2 linked regions of the Oryzias latipes genome follow. The protein of the gene in region 1 purifies or fractionates together with the protein of each later gene. This does not show direct contact. Links are inferred from orthologs where the notes say so. Each region holds a gene or a part of one and is shown in the gene's direction. Other genes may lie near its edges.

Region 1 (3,654 bases):
GACACAGAATAGACAGACAGAAATGCTGTTTGGAGAAATCCCAAAAGGATTTATGCTTGCATCCTCCACATGTATTCCAGCTATCACTGTTTTAAACAGATCATCTAATAATTGTAAAATTAGGGGTTATTCCCAGAAAAATTCACATTCTTATATAGTTTCTGCCAAAAACGTCCACCGACTGGCCTGCAGTATTTTGTTGAGAACACCAGAGAACAGTGTTATCTTTTCTGAGAAATAAAAAAAAAAGCTGCTTGTGAACCTCTCCTGCAAAGCATCTCTATCAAAGGAAAACAGGGCTTCAGGTCATGTGTGAAAATGGCTTTAAGATGCTTTTTTATGTCTACATTTTCATGGAAATTGTTATTTGTGATATCCTTGTGTTTAAAATAGTGATCCACTGCAAAAACGGCATCTTATTTAAAAAAAAATCTGCCATTAATTATGAAAAAATAAAATGTGTGCTTTTATTTTGTTGATCAACTTGCTTCCTTTTCGATCAACAAATAAAGGCTCTTGAGTTTGTAAAAAAATTGGCGAGGCGTTCACAGACAATTTAAAATAACATGTGGGGTGAGAATTTTAGTTAGTTCTAAGGAGTCTGTTTTCGCAGATGTTTGTCATATTTTCAATAGAATTCTGGTTTCAAGCTATATCAGGAAATAGTAAGCAGTTAAATTAAGAGAAAATGAAATTACTGTTATTGGGTTATATTATTTTATGCTGAGATTAAAATTAGTTTGATATTTTTGCTGTCATTTAAGGATTTTAAAGATTTTTTGCCTTTCATCCTTTAGCTGTTTCATCTCTGATCTGTGGTTGTTGCTATGAGTTACGGTCATCGATTTGAAGGAAACTCTTGATGTTTTGTGGTGTTTGTCACCTGGGTTTGATGGTGCAGGATTTTTCTGATGTTGGTATTCTGTGCTTTTTCAGAAAGTGTTCTTCATCCATGTTATGTTTTTTGTGGTAGGGGAATCGGTGGCTATGGACGGTCCGTCTGCATCTTTAAGCTTTTCTTTTCTGCGTTTGTTTCTCCTTGAATCTCCGCGCTTTTGCCTCTTTGTTTGTACCAAACCGTTAACCGTTTCCCCTCCATTTCCTCATTCTTTATTGCACTTTCTCTTTCCCCGCTTAGGGATTATTGACAGAGGGCGGAGCTTGTCTTTCCATGAGGTTGGTGGCCAGCGGGAGCGAGAGATGAGGGCCGCCGCTGACGAGTCTTCAAACAGCAGCAACAGCGTCGGAAGTGGCGGCAGCACGGTCCTGCAACGCCTCCTGCAGGAGCAGATGAACCGCAACTATGTGCTGCAACAGCAGCAGCAACAGTCTGGGGGAGGAGGTGGAGGGGCAGGAGGTGGAGGTGGTAGTGGAAGCGGTGGGGGTTATTCTGTACAGGGACAGGTGAGCCCCTCTGACGACCATTCCATGGCGTCCCACATCGCGCGACAGGAACCGCAAGGGCAGGAGCTACAGACAGACAACGGCCTGGAGAAACTGGGCTCCACTAGAGCAGGAGGAGGTGGTGGGAGCAGTGGGGGGTGTGTGGGGACTTGTGGAGGTGGCGGCAGCAGCCAGGGACAGTGCCAGAACCCTGAAGATCTCCCCACATACGAAGAGGCTAAAGTGCAGTCTCAGTACTTCCGAGGTCATGGTCCTCCTCCTCCTCAGCCTCAGCAGCACACTAGTCAACCCCAGCAGCCCCCGCTGCCCTCCTCTGTGGGAGCTGCCTTCTACGTCACTGGGGTGACCAGCGCAAAGGTGCGCACCTCCGAGGGTCGCCCCACGTTGCAGCGAATCAACGGCGCTGGAAAGGTGCACCAGGATGACGCGCTGAAGGATCTGAAACAAGGACACGTTCGCTCTCTCAGCGAACGACTCATGCAACTCTCCTTGGCCACCAGTGGTGTGAAGGCTCACCCCCCGGTGAATAGCACCCCACTATCACCCCACTGCCCCCCTCCAGGGCAACCGGGGGATTACTACAAGCCACAGCACCGGGGCCCGCCTCCAGACTACCCCTTTAAAGCCTTCGGTTCCCCGTCCAAGCAGCAAGAACCTGTGGGCCATTTTTACACAGAGCAAAGAGGGAGGGAGCACTCCCGGGAGGTACCAAACGTTCGATACCAGCCCCCACCGGAGTATGGCTCATTCAGGTGAGAAATGCAAACGTGCAATTTTGAGCCCCACTTTACGTAACACGCATCAGAACTCCAGCTAGGTTCTGCTTCATGTGGCCCAACTTCACTGAGGTCAGCTGTGTGAGAAACACCAGTAAATACATTCCAGTTAATTAATTTAAAGATCCACTCTGATAATCTTTTGCTAGATTTTAAAATTTTTCAGTTTTTTGCCCAAATAAAAAAAAAACTTTTCTCTGTCTCCTGCTAGCTTACAGCCCCTCACAGCCCCAACTAACATTATAAGTGCAACAAAAATGGTGAGCAGTATTGGAGCTCGATGTTAGCTAGGACGTACATGAACCTACATGGATCTAGAATCAGAATGGAGCAGAGCAGGGAGCTTGTTTGTGTTCTATGTAACAAATACGATCTTTTCAAACGTCATTTTTTTGTCTGCTCCTGATTCAAAACAATTTGAATGAAGAAATACTTAGAAACTCAATTTTAAGCTTAATTTTATTTATATATGTCCTCCATATACAGAAAAATGTTGTTATCGTCAAGAAGAATGTTAAAAAAACAACACAATTTTCATCAGAGTTGGTCTTTAAAGGCCCAAAAACAAAAAAAAAAAGAACATTGAAAATGAGATCAGGCTGGCAAACCTCCGGCGGGATTTCTCAACAGGGTTTTTGGAAACACCGAGATCCAGTCGAGCTGGTTTTATGTTAGTTATTGCTATTTCCCTCAGAGTGTAACAGCTACAAATTCCTCACAATTTTAATCATCGGGACAGGACAAGCCGGGACACGAGGCGTTCATATTGATGACATTCCTGTGGGGATTAAGGGCAGTGTCATTCGTGCCGTTTCATCCTGATGTTCCAAAACGCCTGGGTTCTGACCTGGCACTTAAAAACAAAGACGTTTTTTACTTTTATGGCCCAAATTCATGAACAAATGATGAAAACAACGCCCCCCCTTAAATTCCCAAAATTTCCATGTTTTAAAAATAAAAAAGACATTTAAAGAGTCAAATTTAATTTTACGCTTTTTTCCAATTTGAGGTAACATAGAAATAAACAGTTAGTTTCAATCAATTTGTCATTTAATAGCTTGATGTCTCCTCAGATCCAGTAAGGAGGGTTCGGTTCACTACCAGAGGTCGCTTCACCACCACAGTCCCACCTCCTCCGTCACCTCTGTTGGCTCCTTGTCACGCGCCCAGTCCTCCACCCTCAGCAGCATGCTGTCTGCCTCCCACTCCTCGCATCCGTCCTTCCCCCACCAGCAGTCTCTTGGGGAGCCTCACCACATGTCTGGACCTCGTAGTCCACATGGCACAGGCTCCCACCAAGGAGCCGAGCCAGGCATCCAAGGTCCAGGTCACCCACCCATGCACAGAGGTCACGCTTTCCCCGCCGATCCCTATGGCTCCACCCCGAGGTTGCACCATCATCAGCAGCTTCATCACCCATGTCAGCAGCAGCACCAGCAGCAGCAGCACCAGCAGCAGCAACAGTTTCAAGGTC
Region 2 (3,654 bases), on another chromosome or scaffold:
CCCAACAATCAGCTTCTCCGGAAGTTGATTTTCAGTTGCTGATAACAGAATAAGCACGTTACCACTAAAGCTGGGCTCCTGATTGGTTGACGTGATGCAGAGTTATCACCAAAGTTTAGATAGAACTCTGAAGACATCGCACCACAGGCGAAAATTTAAATGCACGTTGGAATCCAAAATGCGCCGCAGAACTTTCTTGTATGTTGACTTAACATCAAAACTGGACCAGTTTTAAGCACAAATCGAAATTTTGTTTTTTCATTCAAAAATGCCATTTAATCCCAAACTACCGTAATACAAATTTGTTGCTATGAAATACAAAAGTCCAATTTAAAGGGACAAACTGCAGGCTAAAGTTTTTTCTTCAGCCTCAAAAAATACCTAAATAAAGGAATTGCAAAACCCTTTTTCTCTTCACCGCCTGTGGTTCCATCAGCGATGGAAAGCTGAAGGAGGCCGACCAGATCTTGGCCATCAATGGTCAGCCCCTCGATCAGACAGTGAGCCACCAGCAAGCCATCGGTCTCCTGCAGAGTGCGTCCGAGAGAGTGCATCTGACAGTGGCTCGGGGCCCAATACCCCAGCTGACAAGTCCCATCGTGTCCCGCACGCCGTCTGCCGCCAGTACTCTGTCAGCCAACTCCAGCGCGGTACGTTAACAAACATTTTGGGCCGGTCGGTAAAATTAAGTACAGTAATCAAACAAAGGGGTCAAGGTAAATATGGGTTTTTGTGCTTTTGTTCTAGTGGCAACATGTGGAGACAATTGAGCTGGTGAACGATGGCACCGGTCTTGGGTTCGGTATTGTTGGAGGAAAGACTACAGGGGTCATCGTCAAAACTATTCTTCCTGGAGGCATAGCTGACCAGGTGACCAACCTAAATTTAGAAGTTAACCCTTCAACACAGGAGATATTGCCGGCGACACCTAAATAACACACTCTTTGAACTAGTGCAGCTCTTTGACCATTGATGCAATTAACGAAATCTCACGTTGGAGTTATGTTAAATGCGTAAGCTCTCACTCCTGTGAAGTGTTGCATACCAGCGCAAAGCAGTTTTTCCTCTGCTTCAGAATCCGCTGGAAATATGTTAATTGCTGAAACGGTTGAAGAGTTACAGTAGTCAAAAGTATATAAAGCTCTGATGTTAAAGGGTCTAATAAAACTAAAAAGTGTTTCTTGTCCATGTGACCTCTCCAGAAGTGGCACTATGACAATAAACCCAACACTAAATTTGGTCATGATTTTTGAACCAGGCTAATGTTGATTGTGTGTTGAAAGGACGGACGGTTGCGCAGTGGAGACCACATCCTAAGAATTGGGGACACCGACCTCCACGGGATGGGAAGCGAGCAGGTGGCGCAGGTCCTTCGGCAGTGTGGCAACAGAGTTAAGCTGGTTGTGACCAGGGCTCCGGTGGAGGAAACGCCATCTGCGGTCATGTCAGTAGTGCTTCCTACCGTCAGTGAACAACAGGTACCAAAACAAAACAAAGTCGAGTTTAACCAAAAAAAGGACTAATATTCAATGCAATTTATGTACTATTTCATATTCCGCACTATAGTGGTCAAACCTGTACCCGTAGGTGGCCCGCAGGAACTATCAAACCCGTAGAACGCTCGGTGAAAAATGTTCATGCACATTGTTTTGTACACGTTTCTACATGTTCTACACGTATGCTTTGGGCTGTAGGTAGTATCAAAAACTTAAACAACACTCAAGGGTAAGTGACAGGGAAGTAGGTGAGACACAGGCAGGTTCTACAACCCCCCCCCCCACCCCCCAACCCTGTGCAAGGAGCATGTTAGTACTGTTCACGTAAAAAGTGTGCTCTCCTTGTGTGCCTCCGGCGCGTCCCTTGACCAAATAAAAATGACCAAATTAGGAAATCAGGGCATTGTTTGTGATGGTATCTTACGGGGATCCTATGTGTACTTGCGGATCACCTGCACACTACATGTGTACAGCATTTGCATGCAGTCAGTATGGAGCCAGTGCACGTACCTTACTGAAGGGTGAAATCCTGCGCAAAGGGTACCGTACGACAACATCACCTGTACGACATTACCCTTACAAATACTTCACAACACACTTACAACACACACGACAATGGTACATATCATTTTCGTGACGTCTATTGAGTTGGCAACACAAGCCTCCAGGGAACTGTAAGACACACCTGTGCTCCCCTTAAGTCCTTAAGATGCACCAGCACCTCTTTGTGACCCTCTACGGAATCCCCCCCCCCCCCCCCCCCCCCCGCACATAATGGGTCAACCCCCCTAAGGGTCCATTTGGTGTTTCTTTGAATAGGCTAACTCAGCTACCATGTAGCGGTGTGGTGTTGGACTGTAATTTTTACGGGTCGCAAACAAGATTGGGAGTTAAAGGTATTGATTGTGAATATGCTAAAGGGCCTAACGCTTCTAATGGGTCGTAGTTTAGCGTATTACAAGCAAATTCTAGCGTTACTGTGAACATAGTTAATAAACTCTGACTGACAGATTCATCTGTGACTTTTGTCTTGCTTGATGCCTCTTATAGGGCCTTATGCATGACATCATTTTGAAAATAAACCAATCTGGTGCATGTGTGGTACATATAGATTTCATTGTTGTGGTTTTTTTATCGTGCTACAGGAAATAGCTTTATAAATATGAATCAGAACAACTGAAGGTTTCAAGAGCGTTTTATTCTTGTACAATCATCTCTGTGGCTGAATGTCAGTGACTCACAGAAGCCATTATCCTACACCTCCAAATGCACACCTTCTCAGGTTCAGAGTGCTCACTGACCAAGGCTAAAACCCACATCAACAAGGCTATTCGGCACATTACATTTACTATGGGTTTTGGTTTAAATGTCAATACTGTTGTTGATTTAATGATCCCGCCTTAGGCTGACGAGGAAGAGGAGGCCGAAAGCTTCAACGTGTGCCTCACCAAGAACGCACAGGGACTGGGGATCACCATTGCCGGCTACGTGGGCGATAAAAATTCAGGTGAGGGTTCAAAATACACGTTTAAAGACACATGCAGTAAATTGAATTCCTCACATGCTGATATTCTAGTTAACCCTCTTCTCTGGTTGATTTGAATGGTTTGTGAGTCAGGATTCTTTTCACTTCATTTAAATGATAAACACGATAGAAAATCAGGCAAACTGTGATTGGTTTAGTGTAAGTCTATCAACCTAAGGCCGCCTGTTTTTGCGTAAAGGCTTTTTTTATTTTTGCTGCTGTTATTAGAATCTGTGGGTAAACCTTGAGGATTTGGATTCCCAAGAGTCCAGGTCATGTGACCAATTTTAAAAGGAAATTTCTAGTACTTAAAAGATGTGCTAACTGTCCATCCCACCAGGTTTGTAAAGTTGGAGCTTCAAACTACTGACCCAATGAGGTTTTACTTGTTACGTTTTTTATTATCTCCCAATGCTAATGCCAAATTATTTATTTGATCATTTCTAGCTCAGTTTACTGCTACGTCGATGACCTGATGCGCATTTTCTTAGTGAAAGTAAAAAGGGTGAAATCCCCCTTTATTCCATTGGGTAAAATAGTCCTCATGAGATCTTATTGTGACAATTTTTAACAAATGTTGGCATTTTTACCTTAGGAATTTGTTTTGTTTTTTGCCATGCAGGGCTATAAGGG

Evidence for each region. Proteins that work in one complex are often made in the same cells at the same time.
Region 2: the proteins of angiomotin (region 1) and mpdz purify together in Homo sapiens (affinity purification with mass spectrometry; 4 studies listed by BioGRID and IntAct, with this or other methods). This does not show direct contact. The link is inferred for Oryzias latipes from reciprocal best matches to the Homo sapiens genes AMOT and MPDZ.

What each region holds. Positions count from the first base shown.
Region 1 is NC_019872.2:12,821,444-12,825,097, reverse strand, and holds part of angiomotin, read left to right. Parts: intron 1-1,138; coding exon 1,139-2,156; intron 2,157-3,253; coding exon 3,254-3,654.
Region 2 is NC_019876.2:9,319,363-9,323,016, forward strand, and holds part of mpdz (multiple PDZ domain protein), read left to right. Parts: intron 1-436; coding exon 437-650; intron 651-747; coding exon 748-870; intron 871-1,283; coding exon 1,284-1,478; intron 1,479-2,900; coding exon 2,901-3,003; intron 3,004-3,654. UniProt on the Homo sapiens protein: Member of the NMDAR signaling complex that may play a role in control of AMPAR potentiation and synaptic plasticity in excitatory synapses. Promotes clustering of HT2RC at the cell surface.